7 linked regions of the Canis lupus familiaris genome follow. The main gene of each other region encodes a partner of the protein of the gene in region 6 in a complex. Links are inferred from orthologs where the notes say so. Each region holds a gene or a part of one and is shown on either strand. Other genes may lie near its edges. The genes, in order: XPO1, NUP50, XPO5, SIRT2, IPO13, RAN and RANGAP1.

Region 1 (3,585 bases), on a different chromosome or scaffold from region 6:
GGGAGCCGGACGTAGGACTTGATCCCGGGTCTCCAGGATCAGGCCCTGGGCCGAAGGCGGCGCTACACCGCTGAGCCACCCCAAGCTGACCTATATAGGAATTTCAAGTAATTTTCGCTCTCTTTGGCATTCTCTACTTATGACATAGCTAATATATTTACAATTTTTAAAAAACCTATTTATCTTAGAGGGAAAAAAAATCTGAGTAACATTATCATGTACGACCAATCCTTATTTAACCTTCACCAGTAAGATAATCCATCAACTTACAGATGTTACATTACTTTTAAATTTGTTTAAAAGAAAGTAATACAAGACAATTTCTTCTTCCCATAAATTTATTTTTTTTTCTTCCCATAAATTTAAATGAAGCATTGTGTAACAGCAGTAGAAAGAAGTGGATTATCTGCTAATTTGTCTTAATTCCCTAAAATGGATTACTAACAAAATGGGTATGAAATCCCCAAAGGGGCAATCAGTGTTTCTTTCCCCATAATGCACAATTTAAAAATCATCTATAGGATGACATGACCATTATTCCAAGACATTTTGATCATCCAAAATGAATTCTATTAATAACAAGTTTCCAAAAACATTTGTAACGCATCATGTTCTCAGCGATGACTTAGTTTTTCACTGTGTATCAGTCTAGGACTAGTAAGCTTAAATACCACTCAAAAATCCCATTCATTTTGCTTTAACAAAAAGCGGTACATTGTACAATCCAACAACTAAAACATACCAAGTACAAAGCACGTACCTTTATTTGTACTAGGAAATCCCTAAGATGTTCCTTGAAAGCAGGAATATCCTGATTTAAGCTGAAAAGCCCTGTCACAAAGAGCTTTACTTGAGCACTGCAAAACAAAACACAACGATTAAATATCACTGTTTTTTAACTGAAAAATATAGGTGTATTAAAAAGTGTATTTACTCTTGTAGATGAGGGAATGCAGATTTAAGGAGATTTGCCACATATTCCTGAATGAACATTTGGTTGTTAACTGGATTTCCAGGATTTAATGGTGTACTTATTTTTCCTTCTTCAACCAAATTAAACATATATGCCAGTATTGACGCATGCATTGTCAAACCTGTTGATAAGAAGAACATCATTAACTCCACAGTTAATAACAACTTGAACACTTAAGATTTTCATGGCTATAAATTCTTACCAGCAGTATGTGAGGTGTCTGTCACAACAGAAAAGATATGCTGAAGAATATCACAAAAATAAGTTTGATAGAAACTCTGAGCTGCAGCTTCTTCTTGTGCAACATTTTGTAAGAGTGTAAAAAGTATCTGTAAGCCTAAAATGTACAAAAACACTAATGAAGTTATTACAGCCGGTTAACATTCACACAGAATTTCCACTATTCAACTCTTCTGATTCAAAAGCCATTCTTAACCCTCTTTCCACTAGTGACTAACAATTATTTGCCTAAATTACCTTGAATAATGGGAGTTCATCTAGCATCAATGTCTGCTTATAGATTACAGTAATAACCATTACCAACTTTCCACTATATCTGAAAGTTTAGATTCTCTCCAAATCAACTCTAAAAACAGCATTACGAAAATACAAGTATATTACATAAACCAGTTTCTATTAAAAAATAAAAATTTCTCTCGAAAATGTGGTTTTCTCCTTATTTTGACCCTTAGCGGGACAGAGGAAAAGCATATGGGGAAAAGGAAACATTGGTATGGATGCGGAAAAGTAATGTCGCTCTACTTTGAATTTTCACCCATCTCCCTGTAAATCAACCCTACACCTGTGGACTCAACCATAGAAGAGAGGATTCAACTGCTTTTAGTATTTACTTAGACCTACATATGCCACAGATGTACTCACACAAAACCCACATAACAGTGCTACCTAATTCCTTCAGATCTAAGTTTAAGAGCCTGTGGATTGTAAGATGAATGAATAAAAAGGGTATTTAAATAAAAGGACGTGTATTTACCTGTATCTGCAACATTCCTCATAGTATGTTTGAAAGCCCAAATAATGGAATCCAAAACAAGTTTAAATTGTGCAGGTGGTATTGCCAGGAATGCTGGGAAACAATGAGAATTGACAGCCTGAAGTAGTAAGAAAAAGTTTGTTCTGTGTTCAGGATATTCTTCAAAGTCCTATAAACAAAAGATGAGAACAAAATAAAGTTTCAATGCCTTAATTATGTTTAATAAAAAAGAAAAAGTAAATCCTAATTTAGTATAAAGCTTTGGAATTGTTAATGGGCCCCATCCAGTGTATGTAAGATATTGGTTTCCTGATCAGCAAACCTGAAATCAACACAATTTGCCTCTCATGGAAGATGTAATTACCACTGATTACACAAATGAATTACTAAAAATAAGGACTACAAGGTCCCATTATAAGGAGTCAAAACCCATAAAGAACATATTTTCAAGTTACTCTTAAGAAAATTACTACCATGTTATGATTCTGACTTCAAGATCACAAATATAGATCCGAGAATTTTTAGCTACTGTGTAAATTTGTGGACTTAGATCTACATTTTCCTATCTTACTTAATACATTTCCCCATTTCTTGTGTGTGTGTATATATATACACATATACATTACTGAATATAGTTTTTATGTAAATTTACTATTTTGCAGTTAAGATTGTTTTAAGATTTGAGGGAGTACATGTGAATTGGGGGGAGGACCAAAGGGAGAGAATCTTCAACAGACTCCTTGCTGAGTGTGGAGACTAGACTTGGTGTGTTACCTCACCATTCTGAATTCAAGATCAAGATCAAGCGGAGACCAAGAGCAGAAGCTCAATCAACTGAGCCATCCAAATGGCCAAAGATCTTTTTAATAGTAAATACATTTTTTTAAAGATTGTATTTATTTATTCATGACAGAGAGAGAAAAAGAGAGAGAAAGGGGGGCAGAGGGAGAAGCAGTCTCCACACAGGGAGCCTGACGTGGGACTCGATCCTGGGTCTCCAGATCATACCCCAGGCCGAAGGTGGCGCTAAACCACTGGGCCTCCAGGGCTGCCCAATAGTTAATATTTTTAAAAGTACTTCTCTGGTCTAAATGTTCAAATATTTAAACTAGTTAATCCCATAGCTATCATTTATGCTTTCAAGTCTTACAAGGATACATAATGCAGAATTTCCCATACTGAAATGTAAACCACATACCTTATTTATCATATTCAATGTGCATTCAAAAACAGCATCAAATATTTGAGGTATTTCAGCTGTTATATGTCCTCCTAACTTGTTGACAATAATAGCCATAGTACTAAGCACTTCTGGTTCTCTAGCAGCTGGTACATTTCTCTGATAATCAATGAGAACTGCATCCAATAAAGGAGGAACAAAATTTTCAGCTACCTGTTAAAAAAAAAAAAAAACTTTACCCAAGTTTTTTATTTATTTTTTTTTTAAATTTTTATTTATTTATGATAGTCACACAGAGAGAAAGAGAGGCAGAGACACAGGCAGAGGGAGAAGCAGGCTCCATGCACCAGGAGCCCGATGTGGGACTCGATCCCGGGTCTCCAGGATCGCGCCCTGGGCCAAAGGCAGGCGCCAAACCGCTGCGCCACCCAGAGATCC
Region 2 (4,177 bases), on a different chromosome or scaffold from region 6:
CAATCCACAAAGACTGTGCGAAAGACAAACATCTAATACAGTTCCCCGGCTGGGTATTTCTTTTTCCTTTCTAGCCTCAGGAAGAGAAAAAAAAACCAAACAAACGAAAAAAATCCAAACATCTGGCCACATCTACCTTCTGGATTCTTGTCTTGGTGTGAAGTCACCATCACAGCAGGCAATAAATCTGGCTTTATTTTTAAACGTCCAGCGCGAGCGCCACCTGCTTTTAACCCTTAATGTGTGCAATCCAGCAGGATAGGGGTCGTGGACACACCGATCCAAGGGTGGGCGTTTCCGGGCAGGGCTCCTGAACACAGGAGATGGTTGTGGGCAAGCTGGTTTTCCACCTGCAAGGATGCACAGACCTTGAGAAGTTCCGACCCTAAATATCCGCCCCCGCACCCCCTCCGAGGCAGGCGTCCTAACTAGCTCGCGATGGCCCGGGCAGGTGCACGCCCCGCGTCACCCCGCGTGCCCCGCACGTGCGGGGATGCGCCCCAGTGTTCCCGCGAGAGCACGAGGCCCAGGGCGTTAGTTCCGCGGGGGCGGCGCGCGGGCGGACCTGCGGGTGGGTGCTGCCCTGGGGCGCGACCCCCGCCCACGGGGCGCCCACGGCGGCCGCAAGCGCACGCGGGCGGGCCGGGGGTCCGTGTCTCCCGCTCCGCGGCCGGGGCCGGTCCTCCGGCGTCGGCGGGCAGGCGAGCCGCGGGGAAACACGGTGGCGGCGCCGAGCGCCCCGAGGTCACTCACGTTTCCCGGCCGCCGCCTGTCTCTCTGCTCAGCGCCGCGCCGCGAACGCCCCGAGCCCCGGCCGCGCTCCCGTGCCGCCCCGAGCGCGTCGCACACCCGCCGGGCCCGGCCGTAGCGAGACGCGGCGCGCCGCCGACACGTGACCACCGCGCGTAGCCTCCCGCCGCGGGCGCCGGCTCCCCCGGCGGGGGCGGGGCGGGGGAATGCACGCATGCGCGCGCATGCGCGAGACGGGCGCGCTCCTCCCGGCGACGGTTTTTTTCCAGGCCGCAGAGCGCCTGCGCCGCGTGTCGCTCCACGGCCGGCGGAGGGAGGTCCCGCGGGCCGCGGCCGGCGCGCCTGCGCAGTGGCTGGACGCGGGCGTTTCTTTCCTCCCTTTTTATAGCGTCGGGTCGGGCGGGGTAGAGCGGACTTGTAAGATGGCGGCCCGGAGCCCGCCGGCCGCGGCTCCTCCGGCGGCCTCTGGCTGAGCGGACTGCCCTCCCCCCGCCGCCGGGCACAGAGAGGCGCGGCCCCTGGAGGACATGGTGCTTGCGGCCCGGGGCTTGCTGACCACCAAGCTCTCGGAGAACCCCGGCGCGGCCAGGCGCGCTCACCCCGGCCGGCGGCCGCCTCATCCCCGAGGCCCGCGCCGGCGCCCGCACCTGCTCGTGTCCCGCAGCGGCGCCCGCACCTGCTCGTCGTCCCGCAGCCGGCTTGCACCGCGCCCGCACCCGGAGAGGGCCCCCGGCGGGCGCCCGGCAGGTGAGAGGCGGCGGCGGCGTGAGCGGGGGGCGGGGGGCGGGGGCGGCGAGCCCGCGGAGGAGGCCGGGTTCCGGCTCGGGATGGGGCCTGGGGAGGAGGGACCTGGGGAGGCCGGGGGTACCTGGGGGGAGGGACCTGGGGTGGGGGGACTTGGGGAGGAGGGACCCGGGGAGGAGGGACCTGGGGGGGGACCTAGGGAGGAGGGACCCGGGGAGGAGGGACCTAGAGTGGGGGGGAGGGGGGACCTAGGGAGGAGGGACCCGGGGAGGAGGGACTTAGGGTCGGGCGGAGGGGGGACTTGGGGAGGAGGGACCTGGGGTGGGGTGGGGGACCTGGGGGGGAGGGACCTGGGGTCGGGGGGAGGGGGGACTTGGGGAGGAGGGACCTGGGGTGGGGTGGGGGACCTGGGGGGGAGGGACCTGGGGTCGGGGGGAGGGGGGACTTGGGGAGGAGGGACCCGGGGAGGAGGGACCTAGGGTGGGGGGGGGGACCTAGGGAGGAGGGACCTGGGGAGGAGGGACCTAGGGTGGGGGGGTGGGGGGAGATGGGACCCGGGGAGGAGGGACCTGGGGTCGGGGCGGGGGGGGGGGGGGTACCTGGGGAGGAGGGACCTGGGGTGGGGGGGAGGGACCCGGGATGGGGCCTGGGGAAGGAGGGATCTGGGACGGGGAGCTGGGGTCTGGGTGGGGGGAGTGAGACCTGGGGAGGAGGGACCCGGGGTCGGGGCCGGGGCCGGGGCCGGGTTGGGGTCGGCCCGGTGCGGTGACCGTGCGGTGACCGTGGTGCGGAGCTGGCCTGGGCCCCGGCCGCCGGGTCGGGTCCCCCCTGGGGCTTCCCCTCGGCGGTCTCCGGGCAGGGACCCGCTGCCTACGCCGGGGCCTTGCTTCCCTCCGCAGTCCCGGGCTGCCGGTCACCCCTGTCCTCTGCCCCGTTAAGCAGTTTTGAGACTTCGCCTTCCGCAGCCTTCCAGTCTCCGGGCTCCGCGCCTCCCCCCCCCCCCCCCCCCCACCTTTTCTCTTTTTCTCTCTCCGTCAAGTATGGTCATACCTGTTCTCGTCTCAGGGTAAACTGATGTCTGAAGTTCAACCCCGAGGTGGAGGCAGCACCTGGTGGCAGAGACCACGGAACACTATCAGGCACAAATAATAGTTTTCTCCAATTACGAGTACTCTCAATTTCTTATCAGTACTTCATACCTAGGAATCATTTTAAAATTTGGTGCCTCTTTAACCACAAGCCCTAATTTTTTTTTCAAATCCTTTTTTTTTTTTTTTTTTTTTTTTTTTACAATTTTGTTTTTAAGTAATCTGGACACCCACGGCGGAGCTGGACCTCACAACCTCGAGGTGGAGAGCTGCATGCTCCACCAGTCAGCTAGCCAGGCACCCCTAAATGCTTAACTGTAGCCAAAACTGAAGACTCTTTGGTGCTGGGCTTTGTTCTGAGTACTTCCCAGAGATTTTTTTCTCCTCCTCTTTTTTCATAAAAAATATTATCTGGAGCATCCTACTTTGAAATAGAATACAGATTTGCTAAAATATATTTTATTTTATTTTATTTTTTTTAAGGTTTATTTATTTATTCATTCAGAGAGAGCAAAGAGAGAGGCAGAGACACAGAGGGAGAAGCAGGCTCCCCGCAGGAAGCCTGCTGTGGGACTTGATCCCTGGTCTCCAGGATCACACCCTGGGCTGCAGGCAGCGCTAAACTGCTGAGCCACCGGGGCTGCCCACTAAAATATATTTTAAAGCCTGGCTCATAATTCTCTTTTTCTACCCTGTGCTTCATACATTATTGGGGAAAAGTAGTATTTTGTAGCCTTTGCTTCTAACAAAACTTGTGTCTGTAATAATGTTTATTAAGCCCTTCCTCTGTTCCAGGCAGTGTTCTGAACTAAGTTTTCAATTTATCTTCCTTAATTTTCCCAACGCCTTCGTCTTCTACAGATGAAGAAAGTGAGTCATAGCAGTTTTAAATGACTTGCCAGAGGTTTAGCAAGAAAATGGCAAAACCGAGATGCCAGCATCTTGTAGTATTCTCTAAAATAAGTAGGGCCCCAGATCAACCAGCCACTTGCTGGAGCACCTGCTGTGAGCTGAGCCGCAGATTTGGGGCAATGGGAGTAGACCCGGAAGCAAAAGGGAGATCCCTGCCCTGCGGTTAGGTGGCCAGTAGTCTGGGGGAGCAGCTGTTTGGTTTTGGTGGTTGTACTCCCCTGGTTATCTTTCATTTGTGGGCCTGACTAGATGTGACAGTTTCATTACAGTTTGCACTTTCAGCTCCACCCCCTTTTTGCCTTAACTCTTAGCAAAAAGGACTCCTTCAACTTCTCGTCTCTTCTGCCCCCTGGTGGAGGTGTTAGTTACTGACTAGGGAAAGAGTCCGCGCAGAGACCAGGCCTCTCAACAGTGGAAGTTCAGTAAGGAAATGGGTCTGAAAGGGTTTTGCTTGCTTGTATCTGAATGACCAAGATTAATGGCAAAATCTGACCAGGTATTTGAGGGGGAGACCTTAAAAAGAGGGATTTGCAGATAATGGCTGAGTATCCTTCCTACTTTGTGTTAGCATCGTGGACTTGAAAGCCATTTATTTTATAATCAGGGAAAAAACCATGTACATCCTTGAATAGAAAAGTTCAGACATTATTAGGATATTATTAAAAGCTGAAATGCCCAATGTA
Region 3 (3,585 bases), on a different chromosome or scaffold from region 6:
ATTGAGGCACCAACGTTCTATAGAATGCTTGTGTGTTGAGCCAAGGAAAAAACTTAATATCCCTCAATAGATTATACAGAATAGATTATAGCAGTGAAAAGGAACTCGGATATGCTATGGATAAGGATGATTCTTTTTTTTTTTTTAAGATTTTTATTTATTTACTTATTCATGAGAGACTCAGAAAGAGAGGCAGAGAGAGAAGCAGGTTCCATGCAAGGATCCCGATGTGGGACTTGATCTCAGGAATCCGGAACTCACCCTGAACCAAAGGCAGATGCCCAATCGCTAAGCCACTCAGCTGTCCCAAGGATGATTCTCACAAACACTATGTTGACCCCAAAACATACAATTTTCTGTGTAATTATGAATATATACATTTGTGACAGAAGTACACAGAAAGGATGGAATCCTTGACATTGTGAACACCAAATTCAGGATAGTGGCCACCTCTAGGGCTGAAGAGGAAGATATGTACACAGAGCAGCCACTCTATGAGTAACATTGTACATCTCCAGGTCGTCACATGGAGAGTTATTAAAGTATTGCTTATACTTTTCTAAAGGTCTGGAATATTTCACAATAAGATTTTGTTCTTTATACACAAATTAATAAAAGCACAAGAACCTAATGAAGAAAGAGTTAAAAGATATCAGATTTATATAGAGAGGGGAAACTAAAGTCATTAATAAATATGAAAAAATTCAGTCCTCATTAGCAACTGAAGAAATACAAATTTTTTAAAAACTATTTATTTATTCATGAGAGGCAAAGACACAGGCAGAAGGAGAAGCAGGCTTCCTGTAGGGAGCCCAGTGCGAGACTTGATCCAGGACCCTGGGATCATGACCTGAGCTGAAGGCAGATGCTCAACCACTGAGCCACCCAGGCATCCCAAAATGCAAATTTTAAATAAACTCTTTTTATTTACTGCAAAAGCTTTAGAGAATAAACTCAAACTGCTGCTGAGAACATGGTAAGAAGGGCATATTGGTGAACAGAGAATCAACTGATAAAACCTGTAAAGAAGAAAAACAATTTGACTTAGAAATTTTCATACCTCTTGATTCAGTAATTATAGCCATCCCCAAAAGTCTGTCCCCCAAATGAAATAATCGAAAATGTAGCCAAAAATTTTTCCCACAAAGATGTATTAGCACTAATGAACAGCAATGTTCTCACTTTCTAGTATTAGGAAAAGCCACATTCTTTTTTTTTTTTAATATTCTTAATCTTTTTTTTTTCTTTTTTAATTTTTATTTATTTATGATAGTCACACAGAGAGAGAGAGAGGCAGAGACACAGGCAGAGGGAGAAGCAGGTTCCATGCACCGGGAGCCCGACGTGGGATTCGATCCCGGGTCTCCAGGATCGCGCTCTGGGCCAAAGGCAGGCGCTAAACCGCTGCGCCACCCAGGGTTCCCGAAAAGCCACATTCTTAAGATGGCATGTGGTCGCGTCATTTAGGAAAAGTTTTAATAACATGGGGTAATGCTTGGAATTTCCAGGTTGAAAAGCAGTATATAAAACCAAAGCCTAAAGGAAATTTTACCAGAAGTGCTTATCAGCCATGTCAACATCCTTTTCATTGTCTGTAATGCAGGCTGTTCCTGTTAATGATGGAATAGAGCTGTTGCAAATGGTCCTGAACTTTGACACCAAGGATCCTCTCATCCTGTCCTGTGTCCTCACTAATGTCTCAGCACTCTTTCCATTTGTCACCTACAGACCAGAGTTCCTGCCCCAGGTCTTCTCTAAGGTAAATTCCATCTCCTTTTTAAACTTTGGTTGGATATTTTTGAACTAATTTTTTGAGACTGTTTTCGAGAGTCTTTGAGACAAGCCAATAAAACCGTCATTTAGTCATTCATCAGGTATTCAATACTTACTGCAAATCAGGCACCATGCTGGTAGAAAAGCCTCACTTCCCCTCAGGCACTCTCTTTGGAAATAAAATCACATAAACAGTTGTTGTACCCATGTGGCATTATAATTAATAGACAAGTGTACTGAGAAGTGGAGGAGAATACCTAAAGAAAGGGTCTCAGTATGCTGTCAGTTTATTAGAAAGGGATTTGTGAGAGGGATGGTTGGTGTGGATGGTTTGTGGGTTTCCAGTTTATGTGAGTAGTAGAACAGTACCTGAGTAAGAATAATGGAATCCATAGAATGAGGAGGAGGGATGAGTTCAGTCTGGGAATACTACATTTGAAGTATATGTACAACATCCAGGAGAAGACACTATAGTAAATTGGCTATTTGAAGTTAAAGGTCTAGAGTCTCAAAAATACAGTATTAAGGTGGCATTATTGTAGAGGGGCTTAGAGCAGAGGTGAAACCCTAGGAAGGAGGGTGATATGAATGTAGAGTTGGACATGTGGCTCAAGCAGGGAAACTTTGTGAGTTACCATCACTGGGGGAGGAGGGTGAAGAATGAGAATTCTCCAAAGAAGAATAACGGTAAAGGCAGATAGGGACGCCTGGGTAGCTCAGCGGTTGAGCATCTGCCTTTGGCTCAGGGTGTGATCCTGGAGTCTTGGGGTCAAGTCCCACATCGGGCTCCCTGCATGGAGCCTGTTTCTGCTTCTGTCTCTCTCTCTGTGTTTCTCATGAATAAATCTTAAAAAAAAAAAAAAAAAAAAGGTAAGGGCAGATAAATGACAAAATGTCATGTTACAAACATCAGCAGAACTTCATAAAGATAGGCTTATTTATTACAACAGAAATTCTTTAAGAACAAGGCAATATCTATTGGGTTTCTTTTTCTTTTTCTTTTTTTTTAAGATTTTATTCACGAGAGCAAGAGAGAGAGAAAGCAGAGGGGAGGGGCAGAGAGAGGAGAAGCAGACTCCCTGATGAGCAGGGAGCCCCACACAGAGCTCAATCCCAGGACCATGAGATCATGACCTGAGCCGAAGGCAGACACTTAACCGACTGAGCCACCCAGACACCACTTCGTTGGGTTTCTTGATTAGACCTTTGTTAAAGTATAACTCCTTCCTGGTGATTTAGGGCAGTAGTCAACGCTGTATTAGGTTAAAGAGTCGATGAGAAGTTACACAGTAGAATCAGAGAGAGTATCACTATAGCTTGAGTGTTTGGCTGATAGCTTGGATTGTTTGGGGATTCTCTAATCTCCATCTTTATAAAATGTTTGATGGTAAAGTTGTGAATTCAAGCCTCTTGCAGAGTTATCTGAGAAAATGAGCATCTGAAACTTTGTAACACCAGTTGAAAACCGTTTTGTTAGTATATTGTTTATACTTTTGAGATTTTGTTGGAAACTTTATGCTACTATTCAAAAATACTTTATGCATTTGATACTGATGAGTAACCTTTTCTTTCTTACCTTTAGCTATTTTCATCTGTCACTTTTGAAACTGTTGAAGAAAGTAAGGTAAGACCATTTAATTCAACCAACAATTCCTAACTTCTGGAAAGCGAAAGTATGAATGCTGAACACCTAAGTCTAGATTATTGTTTTTTTTATAAGGAGAAGGGGTTAGTAAAGGCAGGAGATGGTCATACAATATGGTGTTTTATTCAAGAGATACTCTAAGACAAAACAGTAAACATGGGGATTCA
Region 4 (3,585 bases), on a different chromosome or scaffold from region 6:
ACACAGAGATGTGTGTTGGCAGAGAGGTCGCCGGACCGCCATGCAGTCTGTTCTGTGGGGTCTGAGGCCCCGGCCCTTTGTCCTTTGAGGGGCTCTGATCTTACCTTACAAGAGGGGCCCACGGAGGGAGACACAACTGCACTCTAATCCGTACCTGCTCAGTATGGCAGCCGCTGCCACATGTGGCTCTGGAGCGCTCACAGATGTCACTACCGTGACCAGTGGACTGAATGTTTCATTTTCCGTCATTTTTATTAATTAAAAAGTTAAAAGCCACATGTAGCTACGTGCACCATACTGGACAGGACGGGGCTGGAGGCCCCGGATCCGATGGCCCGTTAGTCAGATGCAGGCAAGCATGTTCCGTGGAGCGTGGAGCTGGACGCAGGCCTGGTTAGGGACAAAGGCGGGGGGCGGGGGGGGGGGACTGTCCCGAGGGGTCCAGACAACAGGGCTTGTCAAAGTCAGCGTCCCCGTCCATGGAAGGGCAGAGTGTCCAGAAAAGGGGGGAACTATTCCTCCGGCCCACATTTCTCGAATGCCATTGAGAGCCTTTGTCTGACATCCATTGTGCTGCCGAGAAGCCACACATTTCACCCATGGAAAGCCATTTCTGACATTCTTTATGCTGGTTTCACAAAGCCTCTGGTGTTCATGTGAGACAGAGACAGCTGCAGCATTTGTGGTGGGGCCTCTGGAGCGGGGCCTTTCTGCCAAAACGCCAGCTGACCGCCGCTGGGGTGAGGCTTCCAGAATAGCTCAAGTGCGCGCAGCTGGGGGTAATGGACGAGGAACACGACCCCATTGTGTGTCACTTACAGCAAGAGTGTGCGCATCCCCCACAAAATATCATGCTGTCCATGCTGAAATAGTCTAAAGTGAATTGCAGACATTAAAACGGGGCTCTTTAAATACCTGTTGAAGGAATGAATGAATGAATGAATGAATGAATGAACAGTTGAACAAATGAGCTAGGATTCTGTGGGGTGCAAGTGAGCATGTTTCAAGCTTCCTTCCTTAATAAGCAATCAGGAGCATGATTGTCATAAGGATGGTGGTGTGGGGGGGGGGGTGTCTGTCCCAGAACCCAAGGATGGTGGGCAGCTGGGCCCTAGGATGTGTCCCCATCCCAGGATCGTCTGCAATTTCTTCCCTCTCTGTCACCAGGCCTGGGGCTCACCAGGCCTCTCACCCAGGATAAAATAGAACTGCCCCCAAAGACCCCTGGGGGAGCTTTATTGCCCACGTTGGGGGGTGGGGGGTGGGATCCAGTTACCCCTGTAAAGGGCAAGCATCTGCTCATTCATCTGTCCTTGTGTTTATTCATTAACTCAATAGACGTGACCTGGTGCTCGGAGCCCCCCATGCCCTCCACCCCGGAACCCTGGGCGATGGGTGGGGGGAGGTAAGGGGCAGCTCTCTAAGGAGGGAGGGCCTTCGTGAGCAGGGCACACCCCCAGGAGGCCCCCCAGCGACCGAGGTGTGTGCGTGGACCGTGAGGGCTGGCTGCAGCCCCAGACCCTAGCCCAGAGTCGCTTACCTCCTCTCCCTTCCTCTTCCCCACGCCCAGAGAAGATCTTCTCCGAGGTGACTCCCAAGTGTGAGAAATGTCACAGCGTGGTGAAGCCTGGTGAGCCTCGGGGCCAGGGAGCAGCCTGGATGGACTTGGGCTGGGACCCCCGGCCCTCCACGAGCCCCTGACCGGTGCCCCGAATCTTTCCCCGGGAGAATGGGTCCTGTAGCCCCTCACCTGCGCCCGCTACTCTGTAGCTCCCACCTCAGCCCCTCGGGTCAGCCTTCTGCTGCCGCCTGTTCTCTCTCTCATTCTCTCTCTCTCTCTCTGACCCTGTCTCTGCCTCCCGATTCACCTTCTCTTTCTGTCTCTGTGTCTGTCCATCTGTCTGCTTCAGACATCGTGTTCTTCGGCGAGAACCTCCCAGCAAGGTTCTTCTCCTGCATGCAGTCAGTAAGTGCCTCCCCAGGTAGGGGAGGGGTAGCAAGCTGCAGGGCAGGGGTGTGGGGGGAGGCAGCCTGGCCCCTGCTGAGCCTCTGGGACCCTCACTGACCACCCCCCCCTCCCCAGGACTTCCTGAAGGTGGACCTCCTCATCATCATGGGTACCTCCCTGCAAGTGCAGCCCTTTGCTTCCCTCATCAGCAAGTAGGTTGGGGTTGGGATTGGGGGGTGCTGCTGGGACCGGGGGTGGGGGTGGCCAGGACAGACCCTTACCACTGAGCTCCCCATCCCCCAGGGCGCCCCTCTCTACCCCGCGCCTGCTCATCAACAAGGAGAAGACTGGGCAGGTGAGTTGGCTTTTATGTGAGCCCCCCTCTGTCTTCTCTTCCTCTTCCTCCTCCTCCTCCTCTCGGGGGTCCCACATTCCCTTTCACTGGCTTCCTCAGAAACTGAGACCCCTCAGCTCAGAACTAGGTGCTCTAGAACCCGGAGGGGTCAGATTCCAGGCCACCTAGACTCTGATTCTACAGGCCCCGGGGTCCCTCCGGCCCCTTCTGAGCAAGTGAAGTAACTCAAAGCAGCTTAAGCCAGAACAGGACTGCTGGGCTTTGGGTAAGTGAGGAGTCAGGGTGAGCAGGCCCCAGGGCCCACAGCACAGCGTGAGGAGACGCCCACTCCCGCTTTCGGCTCTTTTCCTGAGGTGGCCTCCCTCCCTCATCCCTCATCCCTGGGGAGGGGTGGTTCCTCGAACAGCCAAACACTCCATGTGCCAGACACTGTTCTAAGCATTGTCTGGTTTAATTTGTTTTATTTTATTTTGTATTTTTTAATTTTAAGTAGGCCCTATGCCTACTATGGGGCTCAAACTCACGACCCTGAGATGAAGAGTCACATGCTCTGCTGACTGAGCCTGCCAGGCGCCCCGTAAGCGCTTTCTAAGTATTAACCCGCTGACACGACAATGCCAGGAGTGGCTGGTAATGGCCCCCACTCTACAGATAAGGAAACTGAGGTTTGGAGAGGCCAGGTCACTGAGTGAAGTCACAGAGCAGGGAACAGCCCCAGGCCACCTGGCTCCAGGCTCTGTGCTCTGAGCTCCCCTCTCCCCCACAGACTGACCCTTTCCTGGGGATGATGATGGGCCTTGGAGGAGGCATGGACTTCGACTCCAAGAAGGCCTACAGGTGAGTCCTGGGCCTGCGAGGGTCACAGCCGAGGTGGGAGGGAGGGCATGAAGGCACGCGGACTGGGAAAAGTGGGCAGGGGCCTGGGACAAGCTGAGAGCTCTGACTCTCCCACCCACAGGGACGTGGCCTGGCTGGGTGACTGTGACCAGGGCTGCCTGGCCCTTGCCGACCTCCTCGGATGGAAGGTAAGGAGTCTACCCCGGCCCACCCGGAGCCTGTCCCCAAACCCCTGCCCCACAGGTCCTGTGATCCCATGATGCACAGTGACCTCTAACTTCTATGAACTTTGCCCCCTGCAGAAAGAACTGGAGGACCTTGTCCGGAAGGAGCATGCCCACATAGACGCCCAGGCAGGGTCAGGGGCCCCCAACCCCAGCACTTCAACTTCAGCTTCTCCCAGCAAGTCTCCACCTCCTGCCAAGGAGGAGGCCAGGACCAAGGA
Region 5 (3,585 bases), on a different chromosome or scaffold from region 6:
CCACATCAGAATAATTGACATCGATGGTCTCTGCGATGGATTGGAAGCCATAGAGCAGGGCCTCTGTGTGCTGAGGAAAGAGGGTGCCACTGGCTTGGCTGAGGAAGGGCATGACAGTTTGGGGGAGGGCTAAGGGAATCAGGCTTGGGAAATACCTGCCAGGAGTAGGGCTCCTCTGAGCTGGTGAGCAAACGGCCTAGCTTTTCATAGAGGTTGCTGAGCAGCTCGGCCCCCAGCATCTCATACACATACATGAGCGTATCTGAGATGTCCACCCTAAGAAGTAGATGAAGACCTTATATAATGCCCGGATCCTGCCCCCAAGCCCAGGAGCCCACCCAGTTCCCTCACAACCCTGTAAAAGTGCCTAGAGAGTAGGGAAAGGAGCCCCAGGATTCAGGAAGCCTGGCCTTGGGCTCCTCCTCTTATTGACTTCATTATTTCAGGATTCTATTTAGAGGTAGGGCTGGCCTGCTACCATCACCTGTAAATTCGGAACTGCTCCTTCTCGTCTGAGGACCAGAATCCGTATTCCTCATCAGAAGGGAACTGAGCCTTGTGCAGAAGTACATCCACCAGCTGGAAGTAGACTGGCCGGTACACCTGCTGGTACACAGCCTGCTTCTCTGCCTCGAAAGACAGAATGTCATCCTGAGAGAGCCAGGGAAGGAAGTTAGCCACCGAGGCACTAGGCCCAGAAGCCTATGACCCACCTCCTATCATTACAGCTTAGTCCTACTAGAGCTCACACAGACACACCTGCAGCGTGTACCAGAAGGTGAGGGTCAGGGAACTGGTGGTCTCGTTGACAGGATAGTGGCCAGGGATGCCAGTACAGAACATAATCATGTTGACAAGGGCTAGGAAGCTCTGCCAGTGCTCCACTTGGTCCAGCAAGGCCCTTGGAAGGAGGAGGTATAGTAAGGTCATTCCACCTCCCCCAGTAGGACTCCATAACTCTACCTCTTAGAGGGCACTATCCCACCCTCAGCTGCCCCACTCCTTACCGGGAGTGGTTCTCGCCCAGGGCCACAGCAATGCGACAGATGCCATGGGAGGTCTCCATGTCCCCATTCTGCACTGCCTGTCGCAGTTGATCTTGCAGTCCCAGCACCAGCGGGATGAGTTTCAGGAGTGTATTCACATACCTGGAGGCATGAGGTAAGGACTCATCAGAGCCCTCTGCCTATCCCCCACCAGCTTTGAGAGAGAGGCACGTTCTCTGTCTGCCAGCAAAGCACTCACCCCACATTAAACCCAAAGCAAAAAAGAGGTCAGGGCCTATAGGGCAGCTTTGATGCTGCCCATATCAGGAAAACCCTTAAGTCAGGGACCTCCAGGAGAACTCCAGGAAGGAAGTATGAGAAGGTGAGTGTTGAATGGGTTGAATTATGTCCTCTAATTAGACTTATAGTTGATGTTAGCATGGCTTAAGATTTCTGGGGAAGTTGGAATGAGATATACATATCTTACATGTGGGAGGAACATAAATTTGGCGGTGGGGGGGGCAGAGGGCAGACGGTTATGGGCTGAACTGTATCCCCCAAAAAGATATGTTGAAGTCCTAACCTCCAATACCTCAGAATGCAATCTTATTTGGAAACAGGGTCATTGCAGATGAGGTCATGGTGGGGTGCGGGGCGGGGGGGGGGGACTCTAATACAATATAACAGGTATTCTTTTTATCTTTTTTAAAGATTTTATTTATTTATTCATGAGAGACAGAGAGAGAGAGAGGCAGAGACACAGGCAGAGGGAGAAGCAGGCTCCATGCAGGGAGCCTGATGTGGGACTCGATCCTGGGACTCCAGGATCAGGATCATGCTTTGGGCTGAAGGCGGCGCTAAACCACTCAGCCACCCAGGGATCCCCCTATAACAGGTATTCTTGTATGAAAACAACCATGAACACAGACTCTTACAGGGAGAATGACACGTGATCACAAAGGCAAAGATTGGAGTCATACAACTGCAAGCCAAGGAACAAGACTGCCAGCAAACAGCAGAAGTTAGAAGGGAATGAGGAAGGTTTGGTTCTCCTACAGGTTTTTAGAGGAAGCCAACACCTTGACTTTGGACTTCTAGCCTTTGCAACCGTGAGACAATAAATTTCTGTTGTTTAAAGCTACCCAGTGTGCAGTACTTTATTATAGCTCCTCTAGGAGACTAACATAGATGCTGTTAAGGGAGATTGCACAAGGATGGGAGACAGAGAAGTTAATACAGACTTAGGAGCCCTAATAAAGACATCAGGAGGCACTGACAGCAATCCCCACAGTCCACTCCATTCCCTACCACCAAATCCTAATTCCTATATACTCTGGTGGCAGTACGAAGGGAGAGCAATAGATGATGAACCTGGAGACAGCTAAGGGGCAAAATGGACAGGACTTGCTGACTAACTGGATATAACAATGGGAAAGAATTAAGGACACCTCTCAGGTTACTGGCTGAACAACTAAGTAGATGATGGAGCTATTTACTGAGGTCAAGAGGAATGGGTGGAAGGTGAGAGTAATAAATGTAATGGGAGCCCAGAAGGTGCTAAGTTCAGTGTCAGGCATGTTGAATCAGAGGTACCTGGTGAGATCTGCAAATAGAAGTGTCCAGAGAGTTGGATATGAAAACCTGAAGCCCAAGGGAGAAGTCAGAGCAAGAGACACAGTCATGGGCAAACAGCTGGTAATTGAAGCTATGGGAGTAGATGAGCATTGCCCAGGAAGCAAGCACTGAATGAGAAAAAAAGAGGGTCCAAGTCAGAGTCCTGAAGCATAATGATCTTAAAGGGGGAGCAGGGGAAGTGCAGTATACAAAGGAGACGGAGAGAATACTACCTCCATCTCTCTGTACCCCTCCCCAGCGGCCAGCTCTGTGGAGATCAGACTAGTCAGAGGAAGTGATGCCCTTAGAGGGTGGCGGAATCAGATGCTTGAGACCCCTCCGCTACCAATCACAATGTCACCAGAGCAATCTATGGAGAGGCAGGGGGACTGATGGGCCAGAGGAGTTCTATCTGCATTTGCCCTAAGCAGAGTGCTAGGCAGATAGCCTCATAACCTCAAGGGTAGGATGAAAACAAGAGGCAACCAGCCAGGGATAATGGCTTTCTTCAAATCTCTATTCTGGTGGGACAAGGTGTCCACACCAGGATACCCTCAACCCAGAGACAGCCCTAGAGGGTGCTGCCTGGAGACAGCTGGGATAGCTTCAGTCTCATGACCCTGACACAGGCCGCACCACCAGACAATGGGCACCTTCAGGCCAGACTCCAGCACAAAGAGCAGGGGCAGGGCCAAAGCCATGGCCTGCGAGCTCCCCAGCAGCTGAGATGGGGGCAGGAAGTAGTGCTCTATCCCCAACGCATCCCTACCATGGCTCCTTCACACCTCCCAAAGTTGATGTACACAGCAGGTACCCAATCTTCACTGGGTTCTTGATTTGTCATGTTTGAGTTGCATAATAGGCTAAATTACAGACAATATGGTCCAGAAGGGCTCAGAGTATTACTCAAGGTGATATAGCAACTTAGAGACAAATTCCAGGCTGAGGTAGCTGCTTCTGCTGCAGGACTGCTCTTTCAGGGCCC
Region 6 (3,817 bases):
CACGGATGCTCACCCCTCTAACAATCTACCAAACGGAATACTGCGGATGTCTGCCCTGTCACCTGTGTGAGAGGATCCAAATGTACAAATAGACAAGAACTTAACCTGCAAAGATTCAAATTAAGGGAGAATAGCAAAGGCCAGTTCAACAGTAACGTGGCACAACTTTTCCTGTTAGTGGTTTTAAGATGCTTACCAAACAAGGGAGGAGTTCATTGGCTTAGATATTTGAAATACAACTTTATTCTGATTCTAAACGAAAAGGAATGGGAATGACAGTGACAAACGAGATTTCACCACTGGATATTGTGATGGGACTGTAGCAGTCTCATTATCTGAAACTCAGGAAGGAAACAACTGCGTTCCAAAACAGCTAAGTATGCAGGTCCAAAAAAATGAAGGTACTGTTTAAACTGCCACATTCACTCCGAAGCCCATTCATCTCCTTCAGCATCCCAAAGATTAAGCACATGTTCTGCTCAGCTATATAATAAAAGTGGCAAACACGCTGCACCACTGACATCACAGGACAGTTGCCTATAAAACTAGACTTCTGACGCTGGCCTCCAGCTGCACTTCTCACAGGTCATCATCCTCATCCGGGAGCGCGGTCGTCTGAGCAACCTGGACAGAGACACAACGTCAGGACACCATGGGTTAGAGCCGTCAGGACACGGGACACCCAAGAGATCCCACTGACGGACCCATCTGCCACCTACCTCTAGATCGTGCTCGTACTGTGCTGCCAGAGCTGGATCCATGACCACCTCTGGGGGGGCAAGAGCAGGCATGGCGACAAACTCCAGGTTAGGGTCTCCAATTAGTTTTCTAGCAAGCCACAGGAACGGCTTCTCAAAATTGTAGTTACTTTTGGCAGAAATGTCATAGTACTGTTCCATAAAATAAAATAAGTTTTTAAAAATCTACTTCTTGAGGATCATTGAAATGTTTAAAACTAAAAATAGTTTTTCCATCCATACCACAGACACAATTTCCTTTAGTGGATCTATTACCGTAGTTTCATCTTAGAGAAAAACAATTAAGTTTTAAAAAACATACCTGAAGGTTCTTCTTTCGGTGGAAGACGATAGATTTTGCCTTAACTTTTCTGTCCTTAATATCCACTTTATTGCCACAGAGCACAATGGGGATGTTCTCACACACTCGTACCAGATCTCTATGCCAGTTAGGCACATTCTTGTAAGTAACCCTTGACGTTACGTCAAACATTATAATGGCACACTGGGCTGAAACAGATGTAGGAAAACTGTTACACATGTATGACTTCTTGCACAAATGAGGAATGCTAAGGAGCACGGGCTAGGGGACAGGCCCAATCTGGCTACCTCTGCTTCTGCACTCACTACACCCCAATGTCTCTCTCTTCCAAGTTTAAGGATCTCCAACCACTGTAATACGTAACAAGATTTAAAGTTTCATTTTCTGTGTGAGTGTGAACTACCAGCCTAGCTTATCAAATCTCTCCCGTAATACTTCATTAATTCCGTCCCATCCCAGAATCTCAAGTAGACTACCGATAGAGCAGCACCCTAAGACAACTGGTCTCCTCTATTCTGAGGATCTCAGAACCTGCTCTTTAAATGATCCTAAACTACACAAAAGAGTATGTTATTCTGCCTTAAAACACGCAGGCCTACATACTGACCTATGAGGAACACAATTCTAATATAATTGAGACAACAAACCGAAGTATGTACAGTCTAGGAGTTTCCTAATTAAACACTTTTTAAGAAGAGAAAAAAAAAGCTGTGTATCTGTAACATAGCAAAGGATGCAAAATATGGAAGGACTCCCAATCATCTTTCATCACAAGAGATCCCAGATGACATTTTCTTCCTGTCTTTATCTGCCACTCTACAGTGCCCTTGAGGGAAAAAAACAAGCAAAAAAACCCCCAACCAGCCCCAACGACTCCGGCAGCCACAGCAGCACCTCGTGGGATGCTCATTGTCTTAGGTGAGGAGCCCGCTCCGGGTCCCGGCTCCAGGCTCCAGGCTCGGCGCTGCGCCCATCATGACACAGCACGCGGCAGCCGCCGGCCCGCCCTCACCCACCTTGGATGTAGTAGCCGTCCCGGAGCCCGCCGAACTTCTCCTGGCCGGCGGTGTCCCACACGTTGAACTTGATGGGGCCCCTGTTGGTGTGGAACACGAGGGGGTGGACCTCCACGCCCAGAGTGGCTGCAACACAAGCACGGCCGTCAGGTCCGCTCGCGCCCCGCTCCCGGGGGCCCCCGCGGCTCCCCCCACGTACCTACATACTTCTTCTCGAATTCACCCGTCAGGTGACGCTTCACGAACGTGGTCTTGCCGGTGCCGCCGTCGCCAACCAGCACCAGCTACGAGACAGGACGCGGTCGCGGGGGGCGGGGGGGGGGAGGGGAGGCCCCGGCGCCCCCCGGGCCGCGCCGCCCCGCTCCCCCCGGCCGCCCCCGCGCACCACCCACCTTGAACTGGACTTGGGGCTCTCCCTGGGCAGCCATAGCGCTGGTGCTGCGGGGAGACAGACGTGGGACGGCTGGCGGCGGGGCCCGGGCCCACATGGCCGGCCCGCCCCACGTGCCCGGGCCCACAAAGGGGCTCCGGCGGCCGGGCCCCACGCGCGCACGCCCGGGCCGGGGCGGGGGCCGCGGCGCGCTCCCGGCGGCGGGCGGGCGGGCGAGCGGCGCTGCTCCGGCGGCGGGTCTGGCGGCGCGCCCGTGGGGGAGGGAGGCCGGGAGGCCGGGGCGGAGGCCGGCGCGCGGGGCGGAGGCCGGGGCCGCCCGGGGCCCCGATCGCGCGCCCCCCGGCCCGCGCCGCCCCGGGGCCGCCGCCCGCCCGGGCCCACCGCGACTGGCGTCCCGGCCACGGTCTTCGGTCTCTACGGCAGGGGACGGCGAGAGCCCGCCGCCGCCGCCGCCGCCGCCCCGGCCCGCACGACTGCCGCCCGGCCCCGGCCCCGGCCCTCGCCCGGCCCTCGCCCGGCCCCCGCCCGGCCCCCGACCCCCCGGCCCCCCGGCCCCCCGGCCCCTGGCCCCCGCGGCCCCCGCGGCCCCCGGCCCGGCCCCGCTGCCTTACCTTCCAGAAGCGTCTCCGGCCCGTCTGACTGAGGGCTGGAAGATGGCGGAAGCGCAATTCAAATGCCCGGAGACGCAGCCGACGCCGGCGCGCGCCGGGGGGGGCGGGGCAACGGCGCCGCGTCGCTCCCACGTGGCCCGGCGTGCGCGCGCACGCACGCCGCGGGCTCGGCCGGCCACACCCGTCGGCCGGGCGCGGAGGGGAGAGTCGCGGCGGGGCGGCAGTCGCGCTCGGCGCGGGCGCGCGGACGCACGCCGGCTCGCGGGGCCACGTGCGCCGGCCCAAGGGCGGGTTCCAGCGCGCGCATGCGCCGACGCCGACGCGGCGCGCCCAGCTGCGGCCGCGCCACGACACTGGGAGGAGAGCGCAGGCCTCTTGGGCGGGAAAGTCGCGGGGAGCGGCCGACACAAAGCCCCGGGCCTCCGGGCGTGGGGCCTCGCCGTGGGCGCGCGGGACGGTGCGCCGCGGGGGAAGCGGGCGCGTGCGGAGGCCTTGGGCCCTGCCCCTGTGGCCCTGCCCCTGTGGGCTCTCGCGGCACCCCGGGCGCTCCGACCCGCACCCTCTCCCGGAGCCGCCCGTCCATCTGCCACCTGCCTCCCCCGGGCCTCCATCACCCTCTCGGCCGCTTCCTGCGCCCCCGGCCCGGCCCGGCCCCGGCCCTTCCTCCCAGACCCCGGTCCGCAGAGCCTGCCCTGGGCCCCCGCCGCACCCCCTCCTCTCACCTGGACCCCGCGGGCCCC
Region 7 (3,585 bases), on a different chromosome or scaffold from region 6:
CACCTCCCCAGTCTCGTTGAGCAGTAAGCCGTGCGTGTGTGAAGACGTTAAAATGTTGGCATCTGCACAGAAAATGGGTCCAGCCCAACCTAGAGCTGAGGGAGTTGGAGATGCGCCTTTGAAAGACCCCGGCTTTCCATCGGCTCCCCCCTGCTGCGCAGCAGGCCTGGGCTACTGAGGCTCCTAGAGCTGCCAGTGGCTGGGCAGCAGGCCTCGCCTTTACTCTGGCGTGGGCCATAGCTCAGGCACAAAGGCTGTGGACCCTGCAGCCAGGGGGTCCCCCCGGCAGCCCAGCTCCACTCTGGAATGTCACGTGTGCTCGTTTTTACCTCCCTCACCTCTGATTCAGTTTTGTTGCATCTTGTGGGTGCCGGCCTTGCTGACCTGCACCTCCTGGGAGCTGCAAGTGCCATAGGCTCCAGTTCCTTCAGAATCTGTTCCTCCGGCCAGAGTGCATTCAGTGTGGCCCATGTGCCACACGCAAGGGAATTGGAGGGGCCCAAAGGATTCGCTGGAAGTGTGATGTAGCCCTGTGCTTGGAGCTCTCCAGGCCCTGAGTCCCCAGGCTGGCTCACTGTGGTGGGCCCAGAGGCACCTGAGGAGAATGGAATGTGCTGGTTTTTTAGGAGGCTGGTTTATGGCGGACGTCCATGATCTGTGCACTGAGCATGCAAACCACCCACTGGGAGTCAGGCTGTGGTGGCCCTTCTAGCCCCCAGGGACAAAGAGCTGTGTAGTCAGGCTGACTGGCTGCCAGTTGCAGCCATGGTCTCTCTGATTCCCGGCAACCAGCCAGCATTTTTTAACTCTTGCTGTGTCGATATCATCACCCAGGCAGAAGCTGCGTCCTCGCTTCTGTCCTTGCACCACACCAACAATATGGTGTGTGTCAAAGGAGTGTGACCATGGTCTTGGTCAGCTCCCCCTCAGGCATTGGGCAACGTGGAAGAAATGCCAGAAGATCTGGGTTCTGGTCTAGATTTTTCCATATGTTTAGCAGCTGTAGGAATGTCCTTGTTCCTCTCTGAGCCTGAGGTTCTTCAGCTGGAGAGGAGGAATCACAATGGTCCCCACCTGACAGACGGCTTCTGGCAGTGCAGTGAGCCGACTGTGAAGCCCCTTCCCTAGTACCTGCCCTTCCATGGACCTCCCATTCGGTGTCTCCCCTCCCTCCAGGTGTCTCTCCCCATCGCTAACATGAGGCTAAACCCCACAGGGTAGTGGGACACACACCCCCTCACGCTAGTGGTGTACGTGAAAGCCCCTAGTAAGCTGCAAGGTGCTGGGCACATGTGCAGTGTGAGCATGTTGCTTGTGAGCAGTTCTCTGTCCCCACGTCCACCACCAGTAGGTGGCATAGGATGTCCGAGAGGCTGGGCCTCTTCCCTCTTCCCCCACAGATCTTGGCAGCGGCTCTGACTGAGTGTCACCGGAAATCCAGTGCCCAAGGCAAGCCACTGGGCCTGAAGGTCTTCGTGGCCGGCAGAAACCGTCTGGAGAACGACGGAGCCACCGCTTTGGCAGAAGCTTTCGGGGTGAGTGGTTTCTGCACGCCCTGCCCCGCCGTGCCCTGAGGCGGGCTAAGCTTTCGCAGGTTGACAGCCTGGTGTGCCTGCAGCTCTGGAGTGGAGCTGCGAGACCTAGGGCGAGTTACATCCCCTCTCTGCACCTGTGGCTCGTTCTGCAGTGGGGCAGGATTCCTGTCATGTGTCTGAAAAGTTGCGTGATCCACTGCTGCAAGTGAACTGATGGCAGCTCCCTGGAATACTGTTTGAGAAGATTTTGAGGTTGCTCTGGTCAGTGATTGAGGACTGCCAGACTCGGAAACGGGGACGGGGGAGCCAGGGCAGTGAGTGGGATGACAGGCTGGCACAGTGCCTGGGCTCACAGAGGGTGCGTATCTCTGGCCTCTAGTGGGCGGGGCACAGAGATGGAGTCATCAGACTTACCTTTGAGACGGGGAGGTAGGGGAGCTGTGGCCCAGGTGCCCTGCCCTCTGGGACCCTGCTGAGACCCTGACTGCGAGCTCCATGAGAGGCCCACACCTGTCCCACAGGGCTGGGAACTTTGGAGTCTTTTTTTTCTCTCAATTTGTTTTCTTTGGCAAACCGTATTCTAGCAGCATTAACCACACTGAGGCCAGAGAAGCATGCCCCGCCATCTAGCTGCTGGAGCTCGTCTCCCTCAGGCAGAGAGTGAACACAGCAAGGGAGAGGTGCCTCCAGAGTTACAGGAGCCTAGCTGCCATCCTTGTAAACGTCGTGACGTTACGTTATGCCTTCTCTGAAGGTTACACTCTCCTTCAGCTTTCTGTCCTTTGTTCCTCATGCATCAGTGGACTTGCCTCCAGGAGGACTTGTTATTCGGTGCCTTTTTTTTTTTTTTTTTAAGATTTTATTCATTCATTCATGAGGGGCACACAGAGAGAGGCAGAGACACAGGCAGAGGGAGAAGCAGGCTCCCTGCAGGGAGCCTGACGCAGGACTCGATCTTAGGACCCCGGGATCATGTCCTGAGCCGAAGGCAGAAGCTCAACCTCTGAGCCACTCAGGCGTCCCTGCTCAGTGCCTTTATAATAAGGAGTGCATTTATTACTGCAGCACACATTTGGGGTCTTTTCCAAATATTTTGAGGATTCTCTTTCAATTGAATTGATCGCCTTCATAATAGGTCCATATGGTTTATCTTAAAATTTTAAAATATGCTAAGGAGGGAGCCAGGGGCTGTACCCGACTACCCAGAGGGTCTATGGCACAGAAGATATTGAGAAGCCCTGATTGGTAATGTTCCTCACTTGGTCTGCCTATATTTACCTGTGAACCCCCTGTGCTGTTCTGGGCACTTTGGAACTACAGAACTCCACTACTAGGTGGAGAGTCCTCACAGGCCTGACCTCGGTCCTTGGTAGCAGCAGAGACTGGGACATGAGTCTCTTCTTGAGAGCTCAGAGGCTGGTGGAGTGTAGACAGGAGGGCGATGTTGGTAGTCCAGGATGATGAACAAATACCATGAGAGAGGAAGGACATGCTCTGGGAGCACAGAGGAAGAGTGCTGGACTGTACATGGGCAGGGGGGTGGGGATCCTGGAAGCCTTCCTGGGGAGGTGTCCAAAATGAGAGGTATATAGGAAGACTACATAGGAGTCGATCTATCAAGGAAATACCAACAAATAAAGACCCTGAGTGTTTTAACCAGAAAAAAAGAGGTGTCAGAAGGTTGGGATGAAAAAGGGCTAGGTGGTTGGAGAAGATCCCACCCCCCGGAAAAGGAGGAAATGTGGAGCACTGGTCATACTATGTAAATAGAGCAGGAGAGCCCGGAGAAAGACCAGTGCAGTGGAGCTGCAGTATGCGAGGAAGGACTGTGGCAGACCAGGCCAGCACCCAGGGTCCTTGCAGTGTGGACACCAGACGCAGGAACCTGTGTTCTGAGCTGTGTGAGCCTTCATAAGTTACTTAGCCTTTCTGATCCCTAGTCTTCTCTGTCTGGTGGGGTTCCCCATCCCAGGTAGGTGTCCCTCATGAGGTTGTGGAGATGATCAGATACAGCCATACCCAAAGTTCTGCTTTGTGATCTGTGCCAATA

The links.
Region 1: the proteins of RAN (region 6) and XPO1 are in contact, whole or in part, in a crystal structure (PDB 7B51), measured with the Homo sapiens proteins. The link is inferred for Canis lupus familiaris from reciprocal best matches to the Homo sapiens genes RAN and XPO1. Residues at the interface, in NP_006316.1 of Homo sapiens: Lys12, Lys37, Lys38, Tyr39, Val40, Ala41, Leu43, Gly44, Val45, Val47, Trp64, Glu70, Lys71, Gly74, Leu75, Arg76, Asp77, Gly78, Tyr79, Ile81, Gln82, Val96, Pro102, Asn103, Arg106, Arg110, Val111, Glu113, Val124, Asp125; in NP_003391.1 of Homo sapiens: Leu35, Tyr36, His37, Gln43, Arg44, Gln47, Leu50, Thr51, Lys54, Glu55, Asn74, Tyr77, Tyr78, Gln81, Lys124, Val125, Lys129, Met132, Leu173, Glu176, Glu177, Phe181, Gln185, Lys266, Thr269, Glu270, Asp313, Gln316, Asn317, Gln320.
Region 2: the proteins of RAN (region 6) and NUP50 are in contact, whole or in part, in a crystal structure (PDB 7MO0), measured with the Homo sapiens proteins. The link is inferred for Canis lupus familiaris from reciprocal best matches to the Homo sapiens genes RAN and NUP50. Residues at the interface, in NP_006316.1 of Homo sapiens: Arg29, His30, Thr32, Gly33, Glu34, Phe35, Glu36, Phe52, Val124, Asp125, Ile126, Lys127, Ser153, Asn154, Tyr155, Phe157, Glu158, Phe176, Ala178, Pro180, Ala181, Leu182, Ala183, Pro184, Glu186, Val187, Asp190, Pro191, Ala194, Tyr197; in NP_009103.2 of Homo sapiens: Pro344, Pro345, Lys346, Val347, Val352, Lys362, Cys363, Lys364, Phe366, Tyr367, Lys368, Asn371, Glu372, Phe373, Lys374, Glu375, Lys376, Gly377, Ile378, Lys384, Lys390, Gln392, Leu394, Arg396, Thr399, Asn400, Leu401, Asn403, Ile404, Leu405.
Region 3: RAN (region 6) and XPO5 share a complex: the UniProt entries of both Homo sapiens proteins name them as parts of the nuclear export receptor complex. The link is inferred for Canis lupus familiaris from reciprocal best matches to the Homo sapiens genes RAN and XPO5.
Region 4: the proteins of RAN (region 6) and SIRT2 are in contact, whole or in part, in a crystal structure (PDB 5FYQ), measured with the Homo sapiens proteins. The link is inferred for Canis lupus familiaris from reciprocal best matches to the Homo sapiens genes RAN and SIRT2. Residues at the interface, in NP_006316.1 of Homo sapiens: Phe35, Glu36, Lys37, Lys38, Tyr39, Val40; in NP_036369.2 of Homo sapiens: Phe96, Arg97, Glu116, Phe119, Gln167, Ile169, His187, Ile232, Val233, Phe234, Phe235, Gly236, Glu237, Ser238, Leu239, Phe244, Gln265, Val266, Gln267, Pro268.
Region 5: the proteins of RAN (region 6) and IPO13 are in contact, whole or in part, in a crystal structure (PDB 3ZJY), measured with the Homo sapiens proteins. The link is inferred for Canis lupus familiaris from reciprocal best matches to the Homo sapiens genes RAN and IPO13. Residues at the interface, in NP_006316.1 of Homo sapiens: Lys37, Lys38, Tyr39, Leu43, Gly44, Val45, Val47, Pro49, Trp64, Gly74, Leu75, Arg76, Asp77, Gly78, Tyr79, Ile81, Gln82, Asn103, Arg106, Asp107, Arg110, Val111, Tyr147, Trp163, Arg166; in NP_055467.3 of Homo sapiens: Leu33, Tyr34, Tyr35, Ile39, Lys42, Gln46, Leu49, Met50, Gln53, Glu73, Tyr76, Phe77, Ser80, His83, Ile84, Ile118, Thr121, Arg122, Val125, Val172, Glu175, Glu176, Thr179, Ser414, Asp415, Arg784, Asp785, Pro787, Asp788, Pro829.
Region 7: the proteins of RAN (region 6) and RANGAP1 are in contact, whole or in part, in a cryo-EM structure (PDB 9B62), measured with the Homo sapiens proteins. The link is inferred for Canis lupus familiaris from reciprocal best matches to the Homo sapiens genes RAN and RANGAP1. Residues at the interface, in NP_006316.1 of Homo sapiens: Asp18, Gly20, Tyr39, Val40, Ala41, Thr42, Leu43, Gly44, Val45, Glu46, Glu70, Lys71, Leu75, Arg76, Tyr79, Asp91, Thr93, Ser94, Arg95, Val96, Thr97, Asn100, Lys123, Asp128, Arg129, Lys130, Lys132, Lys134; in NP_001265580.1 of Homo sapiens: Ser29, Gly58, Asn59, Thr60, Asp86, Thr89, Gly90, Arg91, Leu92, Arg93, Ile96, Asp121, Ala123, Phe124, Gly125, Asp127, Asn151, Cys152, Gly153, Met154, Gly155, Arg189, Asn190, Arg191, Gln217, Asn244, Asp245, Asn246, Thr247, Asp273.

The regions. Positions count from the first base shown.
Region 1 is NC_049231.1:62,835,443-62,839,027, forward strand, and holds part of XPO1 (exportin-1), read right to left. Parts: intron 3,361-3,585; coding exon 3,166-3,360; intron 2,137-3,165; coding exon 1,968-2,136; intron 1,311-1,967; coding exon 1,176-1,310; intron 1,095-1,175; coding exon 935-1,094; intron 858-934; coding exon 761-857; intron 1-760. UniProt on the Homo sapiens protein: Mediates the nuclear export of cellular proteins (cargos) bearing a leucine-rich nuclear export signal (NES) and of RNAs.
Region 2 is NC_049231.1:21,795,849-21,800,025, reverse strand, and holds the start of NUP50 (nuclear pore complex protein Nup50), read left to right. Parts: upstream 1-1,374; 5' UTR 1,375-1,497; intron 1,498-4,177. UniProt on the Homo sapiens protein: Component of the nuclear pore complex that has a direct role in nuclear protein import. Actively displaces NLSs from importin-alpha, and facilitates disassembly of the importin-alpha:beta-cargo complex and importin recycling.
Region 3 is NC_049233.1:12,196,470-12,200,054, reverse strand, and holds part of XPO5 (exportin-5), read left to right. Parts: intron 1-1,603; coding exon 1,604-1,759; intron 1,760-3,355; coding exon 3,356-3,397; intron 3,398-3,585. UniProt on the Homo sapiens protein: Mediates the nuclear export of proteins bearing a double-stranded RNA binding domain (dsRBD) and double-stranded RNAs (cargos). XPO5 in the nucleus binds cooperatively to the RNA and to the GTPase Ran in its active GTP-bound form.
Region 4 is NC_049222.1:115,017,286-115,020,870, forward strand, and holds part of SIRT2 (NAD-dependent protein deacetylase sirtuin-2), read left to right. Parts: exon of another isoform or gene 1-915; intron 916-1,570; coding exon 1,571-1,630; intron 1,631-1,910; coding exon 1,911-1,966; intron 1,967-2,083; coding exon 2,084-2,160; intron 2,161-2,251; coding exon 2,252-2,303; intron 2,304-3,069; coding exon 3,070-3,140; intron 3,141-3,261; coding exon 3,262-3,328; intron 3,329-3,442; coding exon 3,443-3,585. UniProt on the Homo sapiens protein: NAD-dependent protein deacetylase, which deacetylates internal lysines on histone and alpha-tubulin as well as many other proteins such as key transcription factors.
Region 5 is NC_049236.1:16,398,942-16,402,526, forward strand, and holds part of IPO13 (importin-13), read right to left. Parts: intron 1,149-3,585; coding exon 1,008-1,148; intron 902-1,007; coding exon 760-901; intron 652-759; coding exon 485-651; intron 277-484; coding exon 156-276; intron 71-155; coding exon 1-70. UniProt on the Homo sapiens protein: Functions in nuclear protein import as nuclear transport receptor. Serves as receptor for nuclear localization signals (NLS) in cargo substrates.
Region 6 is NC_049247.1:1,620,917-1,624,733, forward strand, and holds RAN (GTP-binding nuclear protein Ran), read right to left. Parts: upstream 2,516-3,817; 5' UTR 2,504-2,515; coding exon 2,468-2,503; intron 2,360-2,467; coding exon 2,275-2,359; intron 2,202-2,274; coding exon 2,076-2,201; intron 1,248-2,075; coding exon 1,060-1,247; intron 891-1,059; coding exon 720-890; intron 625-719; coding exon 580-624; 3' UTR 566-579; downstream 1-565. UniProt on the Homo sapiens protein: GTPase involved in nucleocytoplasmic transport, participating both to the import and the export from the nucleus of proteins and RNAs. Switches between a cytoplasmic GDP- and a nuclear GTP-bound state by nucleotide exchange and GTP hydrolysis.
Region 7 is NC_049231.1:24,926,390-24,929,974, forward strand, and holds part of RANGAP1 (ran GTPase-activating protein 1), read left to right. Parts: intron 1-1,400; coding exon 1,401-1,535; intron 1,536-3,585. UniProt on the Homo sapiens protein: GTPase activator for RAN. Converts cytoplasmic GTP-bound RAN to GDP-bound RAN, which is essential for RAN-mediated nuclear import and export. Mediates dissociation of cargo from nuclear export complexes containing XPO1, RAN and RANBP2 after nuclear export.